Linked DNA regions of Oreochromis niloticus. The protein of the gene in region 1 purifies or fractionates together with the protein of each later gene. This does not show direct contact. Links are inferred from orthologs where the notes say so. Each region holds a gene or a part of one and is shown in the gene's direction. Other genes may lie near its edges. The genes, in order: stat1a and irf9.

The links.
Region 2: the proteins of stat1a (region 1) and irf9 purify together in Homo sapiens (affinity purification with western blotting; 5 studies listed by BioGRID and IntAct, with this or other methods). This does not show direct contact. The link is inferred for Oreochromis niloticus from reciprocal best matches to the Homo sapiens genes STAT1 and IRF9.

Annotation. Positions count from the first base shown.
Region 1 is NC_031986.2:20,025,452-20,037,652, reverse strand, and holds the start of stat1a (signal transducer and activator of transcription 1a), read left to right. Parts: upstream 1-6,783; 5' UTR 6,784-6,939; intron 6,940-9,327; exon of another isoform or gene 9,328-9,380; 5' UTR 9,381-9,383; coding exon 9,384-9,511; intron 9,512-10,764; coding exon 10,765-10,909; intron 10,910-10,994; coding exon 10,995-11,090; intron 11,091-12,201. UniProt on the Homo sapiens protein: Signal transducer and transcription activator that mediates cellular responses to interferons (IFNs), cytokine KITLG/SCF and other cytokines and other growth factors.
Region 2 is NC_031974.2:8,876,071-8,889,089, reverse strand, and holds the start of irf9 (interferon regulatory factor 9), read left to right. Parts: upstream 1-7,702; 5' UTR 7,703-7,854; intron 7,855-8,294; 5' UTR 8,295-8,313; coding exon 8,314-8,370; intron 8,371-9,686; coding exon 9,687-9,809; intron 9,810-9,898; coding exon 9,899-10,079; intron 10,080-13,019. Other genes in the region: E3 ubiquitin-protein ligase RNF31, read left to right, coding at 1,942-2,107, 3,145-3,192.

The DNA of each region.
Region 1 (12,201 bases):
TCTCATACTCCACTAGCTTGGTTCAAATCATACCTGTCTGACCGCACTCAGTTCATTCAACTAAAATCCTTCACTTCTCAGCCTTTTCCTCTGTCTACTGGGGTGCCCCAGGGATCTGTTCTTGGGCCCCTCCAAACAAAAGACACATGCTACACCTAACTCCCTTACTGAAATAAACAGGAGAAGACAGTACAAGAGAATAATAAGGCAGCTCACCCCTTCTGTTTCAGTGTCTATTTACAATGTACTATTTACAAGTGAAGACTAATTTACACACTATATGCAAAGCTCAGTATATCTCAGGAACAACCCACGAATAACACAAGGTTTGGAAGCCAGGGTAAGGTCTGCTGCTGCTGTCAGTCACTGCCGCCAACAACTGCTGGTGAGGGATCTTTTAAAAACCGCCACATGATGAGGGGACCAATCAGCCGCCGCCAGCTCTCCAATCAGAAAGGACCTGTAGATTCTTAAAGACACAGACAGAAACAAACTCTAGACGGCCAGGGCTGTAACAATGGTTTTCTTCCAACTTTCTTAAACTCAACAGCAACAAATCAGAACTTCTCCTGGTTGGCTCTAAATCATTGCTATCTAGAACTACCTGTTTTTCTGTTACTATCAATAACCGGCCGGTTTCTATCTCTCCCTCTGTGAAAAGTTTGGGTGTCATTCTTGACAGTACACTATCCTTCAATTCACACATCAATAATGTCACTCGCTCAGCGTATTTCCATCTCTGTAACATCAATCGCCTCCGCCCCTTCCTCACTCCTCATGCCATTGCCATTCTCGTTCATAGCCTCGACTACTGTAATTAACTCTTATTTGGCCTTACACAAAAGTCCATCAATAAGCTTCAACGTGTCCAGAACTCGGCTACCCCTATTATCACTAAGACTCCCTCTACATACCACATCACCCCTATTCTGAAGCAGCTTCACTGGCTCCCGGTCAAATCTCGCATTAATTTTATAATACTCCTCCATAAATTTAAGGCTATTCATTCTCTCTCCCCACCATACCTTTCTGACTTGGTTCGGATGGCCATCCCATCCCGGTGCCTCAGATCATCCTCTTCCCTTTCTCTTGTTTCTTCCTCTCGTCTTGTTTCTATGGGGGGGGCTTTTAGTCACTCTGCCCCTCAACTTTGGAACTCCTTACCCCCTGACCTCAGAAACATCACTTCATTCCCTCTTTTTAAGTCCAAACTCAAAACCCACCTGTTTAAAATTGCCTACTCCATATAACTTATCCAAGATCTTAAACTTTCTATCTGCTATTTGTATTATTGTGTATATTTCATGTTTTTATGCCTGTTTTATTTGCTATACAGTGTCCTTGGGTGTTCTGAAAGGTGCTTTTAAATAAAATGTAAAATGTATTATTATAATGTGCAACATCTTTCTTTAGTAGTTTTTCATTTAATTGGGCTCACCTGGCAAACTAATTATTACAGGTGTCCGAGATTGATTTCAGTGATCCAAAGAGCCCTGAGACACGATGCCATCCATGAGTTTAATTGAAAAACAACATATTTAATCTTTATGACACTTAAATAATATTTACATAATAATTTGGAATGACATTTTTGCTTTCTTCTGACCGCTACTCATGCTAGGTCGGAATTTTCTCCAGGATCCCGGGCAGATTGACTACTTTTTCTTTTCAAATATTTATCTATTGCTATTACGCGCTGAGTTGTCGCATGACTATATGTTATTTCTTCTTCATCTCCTTCTGTTTTACTAGCAGTTGGCAACCCATTTAATTGGAGCAAGACGTTGTACTCCCCACCAGTGGAAGAGAATTTAATTGTTCTTCCTGTTACTCACATTCGCTTAGAGTACTAATCAGGTGAAACCAGATAATCTTCCACAGCACACCTTTGTGCTGCAGCACAGTGGTTACGAAACACTGCCATAAGTGACTGTTGGTCCCCAGAAGTATAGTAGCATGCCAATTTTCTGTCCTCACAAAGATGTCTAAACATGTACACACACTCACAAACACACTTGCCCAAGACATGTGCAACACTACAGAGCAATTTTGCACATCTATATAAACCTTGTATATTTGTACAATTGTATAGTTGGTATTTATATTTATAGTTAGCTATTTATTTGTTTTCATTTTTATTTATTCTAAATGCTGCTACCGGGGAGCTGCTTTTTGTTGAACCTCTGATGTTTAATGACAGTAAAAGGATTCTGATTTATCTGCTGTGACATGGTTTGCGATGGTTTCACATTCACATAGCCCGTCATCCGCCGGTTGGTGCTGTGCGATACTGCAAACTTTTGGTATCAATCCGATACCAAGTGAATACAGGTTTTGCAGATACCAATACCAATAGTTTTAACCTATAAAGGGAAAGCAGTGTGGAGACGTGGTTTGTAAATATGGCTCTCTCTAAGCCACTCTGGGTTAGTTACTGTTGTTTAAATGTCTTATAGGCTAGAAATACAATAGATGTGACAATCTGCATGTCCCTGGCCAATTAGTAGATTGCAGTCTGTTGACATCATGTTTTGGGCTTGACTAGGCTCGCTTGGGACTCCTAAAAAAGTATTTAAGTACTAAAGAAGTACCTAGTACAAGGTGCTAACACCTAATGGAAAACCCTAAAAACTGAGTCGAGCTGAACTAAGCCAAGCCGGCTACAGCCTAACATAGAGATGAAGAAGTGAACCATCACCTCCAGAGAGCAGCAGTCTGATGTTCAGTGTTCACTGCATCTGCTGATTTTCAGACCTTGAAGCTGTTTGTGAGTTCCCCTTTGACAGATCAGATCCACAGCAAAAACCAAAGAGAAACAGAACATGAGTGGCAGTTTGAGAAATTATGAAATCAGGATTTTTTATTTTTGTTTAAGCAGACGGTTAATGAGGAAGAGGAAGCAGGATGTGGAAATTAACAGACATGTCATTATTAGACCAGCAATGTTAAACTCATTTTACATTGTTGGCCACATACAGCCTACTTTAATCTTAAGTGTGCCAGACCTCTGAAACACCCTTTTCTATCAATATAAAGAAATTTAATTACACATTTATTTTCTGAGATATCTTAATATAAGAAAACAAAGGGCTATTTCAACATTAGGTTTCAGTTTTTTCCAAAGAAATGCTTCTGTAGTAAATGCATGAAAACTGCCAACTCTTAAATTGAAAACTCTTAAATTGTAAGACATACACATGTGAAATTAGAGAAAAAGTGTATCCATGTGTACAATGGAGAGTGTGCAGTGGATACACAGTGGATACATTGTGAAAAAACAAAAAAAACAAACCCAGAAATTTTTGTAGTGGTAAAAAAAAAAAACAGGAACTCCCAGCTTTACCCACATCCTCAAAAGATCTGAGGATCTACAAAAAAACTTGAATTTCACAGTGTTGGCAGTCAGGCTGCCCAAATTCACAGGCTGCATCCACCTGAGGACCCACCTAAATATAACAGGACACTGGCGTAAATTCTCGACCATCTCACACTTCTGTTTAATCAGTTTTCTGTTTGACGTTTATTCAGCTGTGTGAAAACCCCCGGAGGAACCCTACCAAGGGATTAATAAAGTTTTATTTAATCTAATCTAATAATTTTAATCTCAGCCAAACCGATTTACTCAGGAACAAATAAAACACTGAAAAAAGTAAAAAGCAATAACATTTTTAGGCTATCTAAGTGACTTATATATCATGTTTAACCTGAGTAGCGAAAGACCACGGGGGTTTGAAAACGATGTGCCGGGAGTTCGCTGTTCTCGCCGGCTCAGATATTTGAAGTTTACTCAGCTACATTCTCGCCTGAAAATATGCTAAAAGTTTAGTTTGCAACCCAGAAAGAGTAATAAGAGTAATATTAAACCTGAGTAGCTGCCGCCATTGTTGGAAACTGGAATTGGCTGGGCCATGCTATGAATTCTGGGATATGGTTTTTCATTTTTGTTGTCCGGGTAGAAAATCAGGAGAAATTCGGGAGAATGGTGGCTCCGGGAGATTTTCGGGAGGGGCACTGAAATTCAGGATTCTACCAGAAAAATCGGGAGGGTTGGCATGTATGCCTGTCGCCTTGACGTCTGTGGTCATGAAATCCCTTGAACACCTGGTGTTAGCCCATGTGAAGGACATTACAGGCCACCAGTTGGACCCTTTGCAGTTTGTCTACCGGTCAAACTGGTTGGTGGATGATGCACTGCTTTCAGCAACTTCATGATAGCCTCTAGAACAGGGTGGGGAACTCCAGGCCTCAACGTCCGGTGGGCTGGCCTGCAGGTTTTAGATATCACCCTGGGTCAACACACCTGAATCAAATGATTAGTTCATTACCGGGCCTCCAGAGAACTTCAAGACATATTGGGGAGGTAATTTAGCCATTTAAATCAGCTATGTTGGATCAACGACATGTCTAAGGACCTGGCCCTTGAGGTCTGGAGTTCCATCCATTCGCTTCCGCTTATCCTTTTCAGGGTCGCGGGGGGCGCTGGAGCCTATCCCAGCTGTTATAGGGCGAGAGGCGGGGTACGCCAGTCTGTCGCAGGGCTAACACACAGGGACAGACAACCATTCGCACCTAGTAGCAATTTGGATTATCCAATTAACCTATCCCCACAAGCTGCATGTCTTTGGACGGTGGGAGGAAGCCGGAGTACCCGGAGAGAACCTACGCAAACACGGGGAGAACATGCAAACTCCACACAGAAAGAACCCGGCCTGATGGTGGAATTGAACTCAGGACCTTCTTGCTGTGCGGCAACAGTGCTAACCACCGTGCCACCGTGCTGCAGGTCTGGAGTTCCACACCCCTATTTTAGAAGGTTCCTAGCATAGCACAAAGAAACAGGGAACCAACCCTTACTTCTACTAGGATAATAAGAAACAGGTGATTGATTTATTGAAATCTGTCATTCTTCAGAAATAGTTCTTCAGGTTTCTTGAAGAACATTCAAAGCTCTTCTTTGGATGTTTCTGCCTTTTGTTCTGTTCTCTGTCAACATGATCCCACACTGCTCCAATAATGTTGAGGTCCGGGCTCTGGGGAGGCCAATCCATGACTGATAGTGTTCCACTGTGTGTTTTTTCTATCCACGTATGTTTGTTGCATTGGCAGTGTGTTTGGGATCATTGTCATGAAGAAAAATTAAACTGTTTCCAATCAGATGCTTTCCAGATGGTATTGCATGCTGGATCAAAATGTGATGGTACTTTTCTATGTTGATAATTCATCAGTTTTTACAAAGATCTTCAACATCACTGACTGAAATGCAGCCCAAACAATGTCAGAGCCTCCACCATGTTTTACAGATGACTGTAAACACTCACTGTACCTCTTTTCTGCCTACCGGTCTGCATACTAATGATGATTAGAACCATAAACCATAAACATTCAGATCTGGATTCATCACTCCATTAGACCGGTTTCCACTTACTTTCAGTTCAGGCCTTTTCTTCCTGTTTCCCTTCCTGTTTAAGAATGGCTTCCTGACAGCCACCTTCTACTGAGACCATTTCTGATGAGGCTTCGGTGAACATTAGATGGATCAGCTGAAGGTCCAGATGCATCTACCACTTCTTTTTTTCCTCTGAAAGAATTAAGTGAAGTGAAAATTTAGCTAATGCCCAAAGAAAACCTTTGAGAGGTCTTTGGAAAGCCTGGGGAAATACTGCTCAAAACCACTTAGAAAATTACAGGAAATTCTGCTTCTTGGAAGAAATGTGGGCTGGGTCAAGGAAGTTTTCAACTTTGTAAAATATAAGAACTTACCTTACAAAGAAGTAATATTAGTGAAATAATTACGTTTTAAAACCGGTGATTTTTTGTTGTCGGTACAAGATTATAACTTTTTACGGAAGCGTAGAGCTGCCACCCAGGCAAAAGAAAAATAGAAGTATATCACGTTATAACGTGAAAAGTTTATTGTTCTAACAAGATACTTTTCATGTTTGTACAATATACTATCATGTTTGTACAATATACTACTATGTTTGTACAATATACTTTTGACGTTTGGACAATATAATATCACGTTATTACAATATGCATAATTATTACGTTCGTACAATATAAATATCACGTTCGTACAATATAAATATTGTACGAACGTGATATTTATGTATATTGTAATAACGTGATATTATGTTGTTCAAACGTCAAAAGTATATTGTACAAACATGAAAAGTATCTTGTTAGAACAATAAACTTTTCACGTTATAACGTGATATACTTCTATTTTTCTTTTGCCTGGGTGGCAGCTCTACGCTTCCGTAACTTTTGATATTTAGAGTGCAATAATTATTATTTTTTTCTAATTTTTTTTTAGTTTTTTGTTATGTTTTTTAAATGCGTCTTGTTTTAATCAGTTATTGTTTTCTTATTCCACAATTTTTGCACATGTCAACGATCAAACAGAACTTTTAAGTTAAGTTTCAGTTTCAGAGTTGTAGGCGTCCTTGCCGCTTTCTCTTTCTCTGAAAACACGTGGTCACTCTCGGCTCTTCTGTTTACTGACTTTCTCCCTCCGAAAAGCCTGCGTCATGTTGCTTTAAACTAGATTAAAAATACATTTTATGTACAGTGTCGTTCTCTTTAACTGTGTTCAATGACAAAATACATATTGACTCTTCATGTTATGCTTACAGGGGCAGCTTTAAATAAAAAAACACCCTCTGTGTATTTTTTTTTTAAGGCATGCTTGGTAGCTGTGAAGAACAGCCGTTTTTCCCTCTTTGTGATTGGCTGTCTCATGGAAAAGGGCGGGGGCTTGTCGTAAATGGTGTGCGGTGATTGGCTGATAGTGTTTCCGTAAAGTAAGCTGCGCCACTGGAGTAGAAAAAAGGTAGGAGAGCTGTGTGGCTTGTTTCTGGCACATTTAGGGACTCAAGCGTTTTCGGAAACACAACTTACTTCCTGTGGAAGCTTATACACGTTACCTTTACATTAAAGGTAAGTTACACGACTTACATGTTCAAAAGGTGACGTTGTTTTATATAAATCGCCTCTGTGACCTTTTATTTACACAGCAAGCCGTGCTAGGGGAGCATTTAAACTTGACGTTGCTAATCGGTAATGCTTAAAAAAACGACTCCTGGAAACACTTAACGGTAGTTTACGCGATATAAGCGTTCCTCTGTGTATGTTGTAATATTTGTGTATCTGTCCGTAGCCGTTATTTAAATCAAATCTTAACTTTTTACACGCTTATGTCCATACCGCCCACCATTAGGGGTCCGAAACGTAAATAATTACCCGTCAACCAAGTGTAAAATGGGATCTTAGTCGATGTGTAACACCAGATGAATTATTGTATATGCCGATCGCTCAGGTGAGGCACCAACATGTAGAGAATCTATTGAGTCTTGTATTGTTAGACGTTAAAATAAGGGCCTCTGCTTGAAATCCTTAAAAAGACACATTACCGATTAGAGTTTGGCTGAGGAGAGCTAGAAAGGACCACAGGGCTGCCTTAAGTGACTTGGGGAGCCAGAAAGGGATCATGCTCTAAAAATGAAAGCTGTGAAATTGACTTATTGGCTATGATCGTCTTGTGAATGTGGAATTAGGTCATATATCTAGATAGACATACGTTTAAATACTCTTAATGATATATTTTTAAACTGATGCTGGAGGCAAAGTTGCATTTGTGGGGAAACTGAAACCTAAGCTGACCTTAGACGCCTCCTACATTCAGGTTTAGCCACTTAGAACAAGATAAATACAGATAAGATTGAGTTTGATTTTTAAAAAAGTAAACAACAAAAAGGTTAATTTGTCTCTTCTTTAGCTGTCAAACAATCCTGTTTTACAATATGGGAATTAATCTGTGGAGCTAATTACAGCTTATGAGCTTCAGTGTCTATGAAATCCAGCTGCTTTTAACAGAAATCAGTGTTGGATGTTCCTTTACATCATCACACACATATCTTTCTTTGCTTTTACTTTCTGATCTTAAGTCAGAGCAGAACTGAGCCAGGAAGGAGGCAGGTGGCAGCCCGTGACAATCCTCGAGTCAGCACTTATAATTTCAGAATTTCTCACACTAAACAAGCAGCTGGTTTTCTGTAGTGAGATAAATGTTTCGGAGCTTCCTGACCTTTGTCTTCTGTCCACAGTGCTGCAAGGAGAGTCAGAAATAAAAAATTATTTTCAGTTAGACCTTCAAATTATTGAATTATCCTCATATATTTATGGGTTTAAGATGACTTCTTGGAAAACCAAGCTCTGAACAAATGACTAATAAATGTTTCCTTTATTTATTCAGGATTATTACACACATCTACATTGTATATAAACTTTAACTGGGTATCCACATCTAGCGAATTCTCAAAAAGCATAAATTCCCTTTAAAGGGTTTTTAAAAAGTCTCAGATTTCTGCCACTTTTATCTCACAGCCTCATGATAATAGATTCTGTATGTTTTTATTAACTGTTGTGTGTCTACAGCTGGAGACTGCAGACAGAAATGTGACATACATGTCAATAAATTCACACACATGATCTGCATTTGTGGGCATTTAATAATCCGGCTAGAGTTTTCTTCAATCTTTGATGACACACCAGTGAAAAAGTATATAAAATCAGACTTTTTCTGCTCATTTCCAGCTCCATATTTTCACTCCTGGACTCTGCTAGAGTAGCTTTGCATGATTCCCAGATCAGAATAGTCCTTATTTATCTCATACTTGGTCTCCAGTTCATCCTCTGTCTAAGCTGTTTTTGCTCCTTCACTTTTAAGCTGGCTTTCCTCTGATTGGCTGCCCCTCACTATCAAGACTTTTGTTGCACATGTTAAAGATATGTGCCCTCCATGACATAAAGATCAAAGAGTAGGAAAATAAATTATTGAAACTGAGTATTTAGAGCAGTCGGAGGCTACAGTGATTACTCGCACATACACTGTCCTCATTATTTGAAGCTCTGTTGGATGTTTCATATCAACATCCACCACAGAAACAGGCTATGTATGACAGCAAAACCACTTTAACATTTCTTATCTGTGACACTAAAATGGCAGATAATCTTGCCTGATGCTCGGTAGAAAAACCTGTATATATGTAGCCACCTTCTGTTTTTTTAGGAAAATCATGAAGCTGAGCATTTTGGCCACCACCTACCTGTTGATTTGAAACTGATTACCTCTTATTTCTGACACTAATACAGCTAAAAAGCAATAAAGTTAAGTTCATGTTATATTAGCAAGATGTGAAAGTACAGATTTAGGCAAATAAATTCACCAAGAGAGTTTATTTTATTGGCATCACTGAGCAGGGGAAGAGGCTACCTGCTGGTCATTAGTAAGAATGCAGCTTTTAGACTCTCCCGTCTTTTATGTAAGCTGTGGCACATCGTGCAAAAAACGTCCTGACAGAGCTGCTTTCATTCACCAGAAGATGGCGCAGTGGGGCCAGCTTCAGATGCTGGACAGCAAATACCTGGAGCAGGTGGATCAGCTGTACGATGACTCGTTCCCCATGGACATCCGGCAGTACCTGAGCAAGTGGATCGAAAGCATCGACTGGTAAGAAGTCCGAATAAAGGGCAGCGTCTTTTTTTTTTTGCCAAACGTTTCTCATCGACTCGTTTGAACCATTAAAAAGTTGTATTTATTGTAATACCTGTACTGATTTACCTAAATTTTTTTATCTGGCATATCCCCTCCATACAAAAAAAAAAATAGAGGAAAAACTAACACTGAAACAAGAAAATCAAAGGTTGCAAAGTAAATCAAAGCAAAGGTTAAACCGGATGTCCTGATGGAAAAGAAAATTGTAGGTGCATTTATATCGGGATCGTAGCCCAAACAGAAGCGAGCTCACACTTGTGGACGTGGATCTGGATCTATGCTCCTGCACTGGAAACACCAGGGTCACCAAGGATATGGAAAGCTTCATGACATTGTATCCACAATGCAGGGATATAATAACATGGACTGAACCACCACTCACAACCACTAGCATTTTATATAGCCTCTGTAGAAATTATCCATATATCTCACTTATCTTAACTGCACTACTGTATAGTTCTGTGTAAATAATCATTCTGTACATATGATAATTTTTAATCCTACAACTGTTCATAACTTGCATAGTTCACATTTCTGTATAACTGTATATCTCATATTTCTGTATAGTTTTTTATTTCATATTTATATCCTTTTCATAGCCTGTACATAGCTTGTACTCACTACAGCCTGTACATACTTATAGTTATAGAATATTCATAACATACTTCACACCGTGTATAACATACCATAATAGACCCATTTCTGTAATATACTTACATATCTATATTATTGCTAATATATATTGTAATATATCTATATCATGGCTAAAGCACTTCTGGATGGATGCAAACTATATTTCGTTGCCCTGTACCTGTGCAATGATAATAAAGTTGAATTCTATTCTATTCTATTCTATTCTATATCTTTGCGCATATTGAGAGTTTTGGTTCAGCTGCGCAAAGTTAATTACATGTGGGAAAAAAGTCCTCACAGCCCATAAAATCCTGGTTGTAAAAGTGCAGAAATACCTGTCCTTCGTCATCATTTCAGCATCTGTTCATTAACGGTTCCATTGCTAGATTTTTATCAGACCAAAGCAAAAGTGTTTGAGCTAATGAGACTGATAATCATGGACTTCTCAATATTTGGATAAAGGTTTTGTTGAAGCACAGCATTTGCTGAAAACCAATTTGTAACCCTTTCAAGGTTAACCCCAAACTGAGCGTCTTCTGTTCATGCTACTCAAAGACTTACTGTGGTCTCCTCAGGGACACGGTGGCCATGCAGGACTCTCTGGCCACTGTTCGTTTCCACGACCTTCTCGCTCAGCTGGACGACCAACACAGCCGCTTCGCTCTGGAGAACAACTTCCTGCTGCAGCACAACATTCGCAAGATCAAGAGGAACTTGCAGGTCCGACCCTGGATTCGAAACACTTCTGTGTGAGCCAGGTTAAATTCCTTTATGTAACTAAAAGTACGAGCGGTTCTCTCTCCAGGATCGCTTCCAGGAAGATCCCGTCCACATGGCCATGATCATCTCCAGAAACCTGAAGGAGGAGCTGAAGATACTGGAGATTGCAAAGAGCACCGAGGTAAAAGCTGCAGCTCGGTTTCGTTGTTAGAACAGAACTATGACACCAGAATAACACCCGACAGATCTAAATCCTTCCGTTAATCAGACTGGGGTTTAAGTTATAAACAAGTGTGCAGGATCCAAACAGCTTATAGGTGGATTACAGCCAGCTTCTGGTGCTAGTAGACCATCCTGAATCCTACCAGATGAAACTTAAAGCAAGAGAAAAGATGCTTTCAAGACAAAAATAGCTGAACAAATGATAAGAACTGTATTACTTTTCCAACTTAATGGCTGCTTGAATGCTCCAAAATCATGCTGATGCACGGTACACATGTCTGCATGCTCTATGAATCAAAGCCCAATATGCACACAGGGACTGAGTTCTCATTCTTCAAAATGAAAAATCAACAGAAACAACCTCAGAATCAGCTTTTTTTCTTATGTACTATAACTTTAGTGCATTAAATAATGCTATAAAAACCATTTCATCTTCATGCTGTTTATATTCTCTTACTCTCACAGAGTAAAAAAAAAAATCATCCTATGTTTGTTTGTTTTTTTCCTAGTAATATTTCATCTGCATGATCTCTTTCCACTCTTACACAGAATACATGACCACGGATATTTTCTACTTCACAGCCACAAGCCGTAATCAGAACATTAAAGCGACCTTCTCCTAGATCTAAAAGACAGAAAGAATTGGAAAAGATCTACTTCATTACACCCCTTATACCTAATTTTTTGTCATGGACAAAACTGCCACGCTTGTGGGATAAATTACTTTTAATTTAAAAGGAAATACCATCTGTCCATCCATCTATCTTCTTCCGCTTATCCGGGGCCGGGTCGCGGGGGCAGCAGCCCAAGCAGAGATGCTCAGACCTCCCTCTCCCAAGCAATCCCCACCCACCTCCTCCACTTATCCGGAGGAACACCAAGGCTTTCCCATGCCAGCTGTGTCCTGGGTCTGCCTTGGGGCCTCTCCCGGTGGGACATGCCCGGAAAAGGAAATACTTACCTGTGATATCCTCAACGATCCCAGAGTGATGTTTTTGGCCCTGATGAGAAACTGGCTAAAATTTGCTCCTCTGTGGATTTTGTCTTAAGATTGAGACACTTGGAGTGGG
Region 2 (13,019 bases), on another chromosome or scaffold:
GTATGTGGCGGTGATAAAAAGAAAGTAGGCCGAGCGTAAGATGTTAAAGTTTTCATTAAGATTGACAGGATTAGAAATGAGTACATCAGAGGGATGTGTCAGGTTGAGAGGAGAGGAACGGTTGAGATGGTTAAGAATGAAGAAGACTGCAGAGAAGATTCATGGGTGTCGTAAAGGAGAACCGTGTTTTTACGCTACATTAGTCCCACATATTTGCTCTGTAATGTTTTCATAAAAATTTGAATCATTTGGGGTTCAAGCCTTAAAACCTTTTGCACAGACTCACCTGAGAAATGCTGTGTTGAGAGCAATGAGAATGACGGTCCTGATGTTAGAACCATGTGAGAGTGATCGAGATACTTAAATGGGAGTTTTGATGACTGAGGTCCAGCATAAACATGCAGGTTTATGCCTTTAAAAGAATCAATAAGCACTAAAGATTTATATATATTTTTTGTCATTTGTAGAGATAAGGATCACATTCACTCGGGTGTATTTTTTCTAACTCCAGCACGAAGGCAACTGCTCTTATTTCCCATCATGCCCAGTTTGCTGTTTGTAAGGATGATGGTTTATGCTATAATTAGCACTTCTGTGCTGGTTTATAGTTTTTAATTTAGCACTGCAGTATGTTAGCATGAACTGAACCGAGGCTGAATAAGATGTAGTTTCTTTGTTCGTAGCCAGCAGGGACACACATTGCGAGTTTAATAAAACTTGAAGACTCCGTCGTCGTGTAACCTCTGACACTCTTCAAGACCCAGTTTGTCCAAATTGGGTTTTTTTAGTTGTTGTTTTTTTTTTTTTCACTCCTGTCGAATCTTCTTTTTAAACCAGCAATTTGTACGTCCAAATCTTTGGGGCAGGCGAGACACTAGTAATGTTTGCGTTTGCTCCCACTCTGATCCGTCTGATCTCATGATAGAAATATGTGACTCTTCAGTGGCTCTATTATGTTCAGCTGTGTCTCTGTCTGGTGGTGTGTTGTGACATCTTAAAGAATTTCCGCTTGAAACAGCTGCCTGCTGTGCTGAAACATCCCTGCAAGAGTGATGACATAGAGCTAAACAATGAGCTTCAAATTCAACTTCCAGTTCAAGTCGAGGTTCAACCGTAAAAGAAGTTTTAACGTTGATTTATGGAAACGGTCTGCAACATTTGAGACAACGATAAATAATACACACAGGTGCAAAAACTTCTTACCTTCTGGTTCTCTGTCAGAGAGATTATCAGGGTTCATATTCAAGAAATCCAGCAGATCCGGAAAGACAGGATGATGCTGGAATTTCTTTTTTTCATTATACAGTCACTTCAGCCAGTGTCACAAAAAAACCTCTTAAGATAAACAACTACGTATGCAGGTCCTCCCCAACACTTAAACGTTTTACACATTCCAATACATACCAAAGGGAAACAAAATGAGATTTAAAGCTTGGAGCGACTGATTTACTGTAATCTCATCAGAAGACTGTAAATTGAGGCAAGTTCAGGAACAAAAACACTGTATAAGAATTCATCACCACACCAGGTATCTGCTCAGAGCTGCCAGGAACTGCTAACATCAGCTTTTTCCCTTTAAAACCCAGAGTATGATTCAGAGAGTAAATCAGGTCAGGCAGACGCACCAGTTTGAATTTTATTGTTTAGGTTCACTGTCACGGCAACATTTGTGGCAGCAGTTTCCTAAAAGAGCCACTCTGCACTGCCTGCTCAAGCAGACTCAGCTGAATGGCAGCTTGTGAGTAAAGTGGTGGTCAAATAGTTTCCTTACATGTTGGTCGAGACCAAACACAGAGTGAATATTGGGTTTGTTTAGGTTGTAGCTGAGTGAACTCTTTTCCAATACACCGCCTAAAAAGAAAAATCAAATATTGTAGGTGAATCTGTCCCTCCTTTGATAAAGATAACTTCTGAGATTCAGGTGTGTGTTTGTTCCCACAGTAAGCACTACAGGGAGTACCTGGTGAGCCTGATAAACGCTCACTCTCTGGACCCGGCTCTGATCTACGACCTCAACGAGGTGGTTCGCGCCTGTGAGAGGTACCAGGTGGACGTACAGCGAGGAGAGGGCGAGGAGGACAACGCTTACCAAACTCGACTGCTCAAGGTGGGACGCTGATGAATGTATTCATGCACACAGACAAAGAGTTCAGTAGGACTGGGCACTTTGGATAATGAAAAAACTAAAATAATAATAAAAATAATGACCAAACCAAACCATAAAATGACATATAATTACTCTGAGAATGTCAATAAATGCAGTAACAACTAAAAGAAAAGAGAGAAATTAGAAACATTATTACAAAGGGGATTCAAAAAATTAATTAAAATAAAAATTCCTACCCTAACCTACGATCATTATCTCTGGAAAATGACTGAAAGAATGAGGGCTCTCTTTTAAAGACGGAATGAGGAGCTCGGTTTGAGCATGCCCTACCAGGAGGAGGCCCCAGGGCCAGACCCAGGACTAGCTGGACAGATTATCTCTGTTGACGAGCTGGAAGAGAAGGCCAGGGCGAGGGAAGTCTGAATATGAATATGAGTGAATTAGGCTAAAATCAAGAGAAACTAAAAATAAATCAAATTTTAAAAAATTAAAATTGATTAAAACTACAAAACATCACAGTAAAATAAAAAAAAAACAAGAAAAATTAAAAACAGCTACAATAATAAAACATCCAGCATTACTTTATGTATTTAAAACATATTGATTAACCAATTAAAACCACTACAATCGTCTTTAAGTAAACTAACAGTGTGAAAAAAATTAGGAGCCACTAAAAATATTAAGACTAAATCTTGAAAAAGTTGATTTAAAAAAAACAAAACATGATCAAATATAGAATTCAAAGGTACAATAAGCTTTATCAAGTAAAAGAAAAAAACACTGCAATAAAAATATGACTCATAAAAATTCAAAACAAATTCCAACACGGACACAAAGTAACTAAAAATATCTGCTCATGGGGAGTCACACGGCATCTGTCCTTAAAAAGAAAGCAGAAATGAATTTAAGGAAACTGCCTGTCAAAGCAAGTCATAGTTTTCTTCTCCTGTTCGACGGCCACTCTTCACAGTTACCTTTACAAATAATCACTCTTTCTTTGGTTGAGATCAAGTAGCTGATTTCTGTTCTCCCCACAGAAACTGATGGAGGTTCCTCTTGGAGAAAAAGTTCCTCGAAACAAATGAAGACTTCCAGACCTTTTTTCCAGACAGATCCTCATCAGAGGAGTGTACTATGAAGCAAGCTCAACAAAGCCAGGCTTTCTTTGCTTTAGCTGGCTTGACAGAACTTAAAATCCCAGTCAGACATAACTGCTGCTTCTCAACCTTCTCTGTTAATGGAAGCTTTCTGATCCGGGTTCACATTAAAGGTGGTGTATAACGCATTATTTCACAAAATGATTGAATGCCATTTACGTCAATCAGAGGAGGTCACTGAGAGAGATGAACGATATATTTTAAAAGAAAATGAAGCCAAAGATGAGTGCTGCAGAAAGCTTTTAACCTTGCCTAAAAATCTCAGTTTTAACGTGACAGTAGCAGATGAGAGCTTCTTCTCGATTGATCAAACCAGACAGTTTGTAGCATGTGACCGATCGCAGACTGAAAACTGGCAGCACAGCAGGGGATAATACAAAGGAAACTAAAGCTGTAATCTTAGAGAAATATGAACAGTTTAAACACAGAAAACAGAATCAGCAATGCTCCATCATTGGGATACAGGAGGACCTGACATGATTACAGCTAAATATTCCATTAATTTAACAGGCTTTGTTGTTTAATTTAGACTGAATACAGAAATTCTCCAGGAAACAGAGAAAAAAAAAAAAGCTACAAATAAAGTTTCTCCTAAAAATCTGCATTTCATGATTGATGCTTATCATTTAGACTGTCACTACAAACGCTGAGCTCCATGGGGAATGGATTCACTGTTTCAGGTGATTTCATATGTGCTTTGGTGTAGCTGCAGTGTAAATTACCATGGCGATGTAGCCCTGTAAGAAGGAAACCAAGGTTTAAACCTGACGTTAACTCCATAAGCCGAGTCCTGCTTTGATAGAACAGGACCAGGTTGCCTTAAGCATTAGTTATGGTGATCTAGCAGGTTAAACTGAGCCTGTGGTCATCAAGGTAGAGCAGGTAGGTGTGTGTGTGTGTGTGTGTGTGTGTGTGTGTGTGTGTGTGTGTGTGTGTGTGTGTGTGTGTGTTAGAATAAAAGCGCTGTATGAATGTGTGTGCTTGAAGTGAATGAGGCTTGTAGTAAAAAGCACTTTGAGGGTTCACGTTCATTTAAGAGATCCACCTTCATCGCAGTGAAAACTCTGACTTAAAGCTCGATATGCCCAACTAACTGATTTATCTCTCTTTGTAGTACACCTCTCTAGATTCAGACTGTTTTTAATTAGCATGTTTATTTTATTTTAAATGTATTTGAAATTTGTTGTTTTATTTTGAAGGAGACAAACCTTTGGAATGGGTCTAAAAAATCATTTATTTGTGATTTTCTTTTGCCCTCACGTTTTGTGCCTTTTAGGTAGCAGTGATGCACAAATTTTAAGATTTGAAAGGAAATAATTTGTGGTGTGGAGCTGGCTCTTGATGTAATAAACTCGGTTTGATTTATCCAGTTAAAAAAATGTAAATGTAAAAGTCAGTTCAGAATAAATGTATGTTTATTAACCAAAATGTAATTTTTTTTCAGTCTTTAACATTTTGTCTGAGAGTTTCTAGTTTTTTCTGCTTTATAAAAAGTGGGTGGATATATGAGGTTGAACATCATCTCAATAAATAGAATTATTTTAACGAAAGTGGAGTTACTGATGTCTGTTATGTTTTGACAGATTTTGTGGTGTTTTCATTAATACATTCTTCTGAAGTTACTTTAGCCAAATGTGACTTTTAAAGTGTTGTTTTTAATGAGAATTTAAACGTTACATTTGTAAACAACAAGATTACAGTTTACAGTCTAAAGAAATGATACAAACTTGTGTAAGGAGACGAGATTTCCTCTGTTTCGTGAATGCATCAGCACTGTTACTTACATAGAAACCCTGTAAGCAAAAGCAAAACTGTTATCAAATAAAACATTTAATGAATTCTGTATCAAAGAAAAAAGTCCAAGCTAAGACTTAAAGTTAACACAAAAATAATTTTTTAAATTTAAAATGTAAAGTACGTCTCATGTTACTTATTATTCTGTGATTGTATATCAGTGAGATTCAGATGCTTTATCTTAAGTAGCCCATAAGGATAACCATTCAGAGGGTTTAAATAACCTTTAATTGAATTTAAACACACTACAGTGAATTGATTGTTTGGAGATTTGGTATTTTCTTATTAAAAGTGCCTGAAAATAAGGAAAAAAGGCACAAGAATAAAGAATAAATGAATCATTCAGTCAAAAAAACATTGAACGTTTATACTATCTCTGCTGTTAGTATATATATATATATATCTATATATATATATATATATATATATATATATATATATATATATATATATATAGATATATAGATATATATATAGATATATAGATATATATATAGATATATAGATAGATATATAGATAGATATATAGATAGATAGATATATATATATAGATATATATATATAGATATATATATATAGATATATATATATAGATATAGATATAGATAGATATATATCTATATAGATATATATCTATATCTATATATCTATATATAGATATAGATATCTATATATAGATATAGATATCTATATATAGATATAGATATCTATATATAGATATAGATATCTATATCTATATATAGATATCTATATCTATATATAGATATATAGATATAGATATATATCTATATATAGATATATAGATATATCTATATGTATTGATCAGGTGTAACATTATGATCACCTACTTAATATTGTGTTGGTCCCCCTGTTGCTGCCAACTGTTCGCTCCATGGATCGGACTTGTTTGTCCAGCACGTCCCATAGATAACTGATTGGATCGAGATCCGGGAAATTTGGAAGTCGAGTCAACACTTCAAACTTGTTGCTGTGCTTCTCAAACCATTCCTGAACCATTTTTTGCTTTGTAGCAGGGTGTGTTACAATGCTGAAAGAGACCACAGCCATCGGGGAATACTGTTTCCATGATGATTGTGGATGTACATGACCCTAAATACTGCTTAGCTAGGTGGCAAATGTCAAAATAACATTCACTTTGTTGGCAGGACACAAAGGATTCCCAGCAGAACATTTCCTGAGGAATCGCACTGCCTCTGCCAAAAGATGACTCATTGGCCTGTAATCTGCCAAAAACATGTCAAACATATGCCTTATGAATATTATCACATCATTTTGACCCAGAAAGAATATTCCTATTACAAGGTGGAAACTTACGCTTATGGTGACTAAAGTTAAAACAAGATCTAAGAACCTTGTATACCTCTTGTATAACTGTTTGACTGTCTGGACAAGTTACACAAAAATCAATCTAAATATACACTCACTGGACATTTTATTAGGTACAACTTGCCAGTAATTTGCTAATACCTAATTTTTCATGGTGTAGATTCAACAAACATGCCTCAGAGACTTTAGTCCTTACAAGATAGCATCACAGCTGCTGCAGCTTTCTCGGTGGCTGTGATGTGAATCTCCTGTTCCACCACATACCAAAGGTGCTCTAATGCAGCGGTCCCCAACCTTTTTTGCGTCACGGACCGGTTTATGCCCGACAATATTTTCATGGACCGGCCTTTAAGGTGTCGCGGATAAATACAACAAAATAAAACTAGTACCGGTACCGAAAAAAAGAAGATTTATTCATAACACACGTGAAAAGACCCAGGAAAACCGAGTTAACGATAAAAACGATAACAAAATAACGCTGAAAACCGATAAAAACCCTGAAAAACACAAATTTCACACCTGAGCCTCAACTCTCGTGGCCCGGTACCAAACGATTCACGGACCGGTACCGGTCCGAGGCCCGGGGGTTGGGGACCACTGCTCTAATGGACTGAGGTCTGGTGCATGTGGAGGTCACTGGGTAGAGTGAACTTATTGTCATGTACAAGAAACCAGCTTGAGATGATCTGACATTTGTGACATGGTATGTTACTTAGGTCATAAACATTTTCATCCAGATAACTGCTGCTCACTGGATATTTTCCCTTCTTTGGACCATTATCTGTAAGCACTAGAGATGGTTATGTTATAAAATCCCATCAGATGAGCAGTTTCTGAAATACTCAGATTACCCCCCCCCGCCCAATACACTAACAATCATGCCACATTCAAAGTCACTTAAATCACCTTTCTTTATTGATCTGATGCTTGGTTTGAACTTCAGCAGGTTGTCTTGGCTGTGTCTACATGCCCAAATGCACTGAGCTGCTGCCACGTGATTGGCTGATTGGATATTTGCGTTACAAAGCAGTTGAACAGGTGTTCCTGGCTGGTTAGTTCATTTCCAGCTCATATATCTGCTTTATTTGTCATGCAATAATGAGGAACAAGGCCTTACCTGGCCATGAAACTGCTTCTCACTTATTGTCCAATTACTTTAGAGCCTTTGAATGTCATTCTTAAACAGATAATGGAATACTTTTTCCCATCCCCTTGAATGAAAGGTGAAAGTCTGCACTTCAGTCACATCTCCACTGTCTCCTCTGTGCACATACTCAGGACCCTGTGTCTCTGTGTGTGCTCACTTTCGCCCCCTGGTGTCAGACCTGCGGAGGGTTTCTCTAAAACCACGTGACTTCGGGGAAAAGGAGCGCCTTCACAGACTGAGCCGCAGAGCTGAAGAGGAGAAGGCAGTCAGTCCGCAGGCACCGCGGAGGAAACACAACCGAGGTAAACGAAACTTAAATCAACTTCCTTAATTTAACACCTTAGCGTCTATATTTGATTTTTTATAAATATAACATGCGGCGGTGGGAGGATGTTTGCAGCTGCTTTGTTGTTTCCAGTCCAGACTCCATTTAAAAAAGACCTAATTTTAGAAAGTTTTTGTCTTTCTTTTCTTTTTTAATGTGTGTCGGCTCTGTTTAAAGACCCGGCTTGAACACGAGGCTTGAACTTGGCTTTTTACGCGAAAGCAAATCGACCTTTATTCATATTTTTACATATTTCTTATGTCTAATATTGGATGTTTTTGATGTGCTCAGAGTGAAGCTGTGCTATTATTAAAAATGTGAGGCGGGGTGGGTGTAGGAGGGCATGTCGGGGCAGTTGATCGAAGTTGTTTGTGTTGATGTTTTGCCGCTGGCCTTGAAACTTTGCGGTGTTTTCAGCATTTTTAAAGAAGCAGCGATGGCAGCTGGGAGAATGCGTTCCACTCGCAGACTGCGCTCCTGGATCGTCGAACAGGTGTGTGGCTGTGTATGTGTGTGTGCATAAGTGTGAGAGGGTAAGGACAAATGAAAGAGGGGGGGGGACAGGGAGAGGAAAGGGGTGATTGAGAGGTCACTAACAAACATATATTCATAACTATGGGGCTGAAAATGACACCAGCAAAAGTTTAACTTTTCTCTTGTTAGAAAATCAGCTGCAATTGCATAATCTGCTTAAGCAAATTGTAGGTCAGCTGTGGAAAAATGCACTTTTCTGTTTCTACTATCATATAAATGTGTTATAGGTGGTTATTGCAACTTTTTGTTTTTATGAAACAGTTTGAACCCTGAATTATTAACTAAAGTCATAAACTGAATATCAGGAAATAACTGATTTTGACTTTAGGCCACAAAATTCTGTGTATTGTGTAGAAGTGATATCCGCTGAGGTTGAGCTCAGCTGCACTTTCAACAAGTTTATATTTTTTAGATTAGTTGGTTAAGAAATAAACAGATATTGCTCCAATTAAGTGAATGTGTTCTGCTTTTTCTTGTTTTCTGACATATATAAGTGAGATCAGTGCAAGTGCAAGCTTCACTGTAGCTCTAAACACTCAGTTTCAGGCAGTTTCTTCCACTCTTGGAGCTTTATGAGGTCACAGAGAGCAAATCAGGAGAGAGTTAGCCTGGAGAGAGCTAAAACAGCTAGTTTCAGACAGGATGAATTAATGGGGCACATCAAGGCCTGATATGAGATAAATAAGGATTATTCTGAACTGTTAATGATGCAAAGCTACTTTAGTAGAGTCCAGTAATAAAAACGCTCAGTTCAATTTTATTTATATAGTGCCAAATCACAACATCAGTCGCCTCATGTTGGTTATATATGGTTGATATATTGTAAGGTAAAGACCCCACAATAGTACAGAGACAACGACAAATAAATAAATAACTCCTTTTGAGCAAGCACTTGGCAACAGTGGGAAGAAAAAACTCCCTTTTAACAGGAAGAGCCCCCCACCAGAACCAGGCTGAAGAAGGGGCAGGATCTGCTGTGACTGATTGAGGGTGATGAAGAAGAGACAGGGCAAATTCCGTGACACAAAAAAACCAATACAATTGTCAGATTTGATCATTTCAGAACACTAAAGTTTGCATATTTTTGCTTTAAAGGTGGATGATGTTGTGTTTTCTGCAGTATTAGTCAATCTAAAAGTGTTTTTTCTACAAAGACATGCAGAAGAGGTGGCTGGTTAGCAGCCCTGATTTATGTCTGCAGGTATCCAGGTTCAGGTGAAATTCAGGAAATCTATAAGCTTCTTAAACTTTGCCGTGTTTTTTGGTTTGTTTCAGGTCAGCAGTGGGAAATATCCGGGACTGGTGTGGGATGACGAGGCCAAAACCATGTTCCGCATCCCCTGGAAGCATGCGGGGAAACAGGACTTCCGCAAAGACGAAGATGCTGCGATCTTCAAGGTAGCTCTTGAAATTCTCAAGATTTGCTTTAAATGCCACAAATCCAGTCTGCTTTAAATCTCTGAGATCGCCATCGCTGTTCTCCCCAGGCGTGGGCAGAGTTCAAGGGGAAGCTGACAGACGGGGGCCAGGACAACCCGGCCGCTTGGAAGACCCGTCTGCGCTGCGCCCTCAACAAGAGTCCTGAGTTTAAGGAGGTGATGGACCGAGCCCAGCTGGACATCTCAGAACCATACAAGGTGTACCGCCTGGTCCCCATCAGCGAGCAAGGTGAGACTTGAAGTACCTACTCAGCGCGCTCTGGCTAGGTCGTAGTACAACTTAGTTATACCTCAGCAGCAAAGCATTTGACTTACCTCAAACCTGATAACCTCAATGACAAAATCAGTCTCGCGGTCACACGAAGGTGGTTAAGTCAACCTAAAACTTCCCAGTGGGTCACATGAGGGCACACGAGGCAGGACAGACGTGTGACAGCAATTACAAAAACATACATGTGAAGCCTAGGCGAGGCCCGAATATGCAGTGTAAAGACGCTGAATTCATTAATGTAACCATGGATGTTTTTCTGTAAGAGCTCTGATAGTTGTTGTTCACACTTCACTGGCTCAGATGTCCTCCATCTCAAGACATCTGTATTTCATTAAGAATAACTGCTGTTTAAGATTTATTAGCTCACAGTCTAACACGAACAGCCCGGTTTCACTCCTGATGGCAGAACAATGCAGGCACACCAGCGCACAAGGACCCGTTGTGGTGGGAATTCAAAGCAGCACCATAAATTATACCGCTGCCTTGTTTTACGAAACCAGGAACAAAGTACAATATTTGAAAACTCTCAGTAGGTTTAAGACACAATACAGCCTGAGCAACAAAGCAGGCTGGGAGTGTGCATGAGAGGGAGAGTGTAGCGTGAAAAAGTCTTGTATATATGCTAACGAAGGTCAGTAAGACTGGAAAAGCTGGCAAAAATGTTGAATGTTAAAGTTCTTGGTATCCCTGCTCGATGATGAAAATGAATAGACCTAAACTACTCCTAAATCAATGTGAAGGTTTGGTGAAGGTATTTTTGTAGAGCATGTAAGATAGTTTTATAGTTTTTTCAGAATTGTTGAAAATTTTATACAAGATCAGCTAGTAAGCAGCTTAGGCTCCCTGTTTTAGTATAAACTTTGCGTATTTGATATAATCTCTGAGCCATCAGAGTCTTAAGAGGGTCTCTAAGACTACAGACTCTCTACCTACACAATGGGGTCGGGAAGTGGTGACCCTTTTTCTGAGAATTGTTAGGTCACTAAGTGGTGGGTGCTGGTATGCGTTGATCTCTTATCTGGAGCAGGTGTGGTTTGCAGCATATGCTAGCATGGCACTGTGGCCTGGTAATGCCAGAGTCCCACAAATAAGAAGGTTGAAGAACGTTGCAGATATGCAATCACACTGCTTTGAAATATCTGCAACCATTTGAGTCAGTGGTTGATCAAGTCAGTCTGCAATCAGTTTACAACTGTATGGGGTCAAGTTGGCAATTGCACACAAATATCTGTGTTATTGTGTGCAATAGTTTTCTCTCTTGCAAAGAGTCATGTAACAAATAATTTGCCCTCATTGGTGCAGACTGACTCAGTCTGATTGCAGCATGTTGGCAGTCTGTCTGTGTTTATACATTAGGACGGTGATTACGTGGAAACAGCTGTTTCACAGTGATTGCAGTCAGTTGGACTGTTTGTTTGGAGACAGGTTGCCTCCCACCAGGTGATCTGTGCAATCGCCTTGTTATTACAGTAATTAAAAACCCAGAGGTTAAGGTTATTGGAACCTCTGGTCAGCCGATGCCAGATGCAAAAAAATTCAATGCAATCGCCTGGCAACCACCGAGTTTTCCTAGCCACGATGTTCCTGTCCAATTTTCATTTAATGTAACTGAGCCAAAAAGACGTGACCCACCCTTAAAAGAATGTACATCCAGGGTTAAACACAAAGTTAGCACGATAAGCCTCAAATCCTGCTACATAGTATCAGCCTGTGATGATCGTGGCTGGTAAACTGATAGCTCAGTTGCAATGTAGGGCAGACCTGCAAACATTCACACAGTCACATGGTCAGCTTCCCTCTGCCAGGTTGGGTTTTTATCTCAAGATAATGAGCTGCAGCCTTTGTGTCACTTTAGCAGCCAAAAAATAAACTTAATCCTGACCTCTCTGAGTCAGACTGGTGAACTCTAGCACATTTAAAGCAGGTAGTATGGGAATACTTGTAGCTCCTCGGGGTTAGTATTTAGTCATGATGGGGGTTAACCAACAAACCCATTCTGTTTGCAATACACTTTCACAACAGTCTGTTGCATTTAATACAACAGTGGATGTTTGCCTGGCTGCCACTTAAAACTGTTCCAGTTATTGATTGAGAAGTAAAAACAGTTCACACGCTTTGCCACGCCTGTGCATCCTCATTAAACTGTAGGGTGAGATGAGCAACTGCAGGCCGGCGATGTCTCAAAATGCAGCAGCTCTTTTTCTAAGAAACAGAAACCTCAGGAAGCACATGACAACAGTGTCTGTCTCTTCAGGCTGCAGACGCACAGATCCAGCGCGTTGATTGGTTGGTTACATCTCAGAGATCATGCGAAGATTAAGAAAGATGAACTAAAACTCATTTCCTCTCACTTTTAGTAAATGCAGGTGGTCAGTTTCTTCTGCTCTTAATGTGGAGGAGCTTTGTAGCTTTTATTCTGAAAGCTACAGTTACCAAGCACTTGACTAACAGCTCTGCCATCAATTCTGCTTTTACAAAGACCTACTTTTTCAGCTTTTCTTTATCATCATAACACCACATAAATACTGCATTAAACAATTACTATTGTACATGAACCAGTCAGAATATTAGGAACACCCAGAAGCCCACCATCACTAACTATAAACTCGATAATTAACGTGAACAAACTGAGAAATTGGATCTAAAAGTTTCCCACGGCTGATGGTAACGTGTTTACAGTTTTGCCCGACTGTTAGCAGGGCTGGCATTGCTGCTGTTGAAAGTTGATGTCAGGTTTATAGCTTAATAGTTCCTCTGTTTGACAGAGTTGAATATTTAATCTGTCAGCAGTACGTCACAGACCATCAGAAATAGTCTGATAAGTTTATCAGCGGCAGCCAGCGAACTTAATGTTATATGTGCTGCAAAAACAGCCTTCAGTTTTCGGCTGGTTTTAGT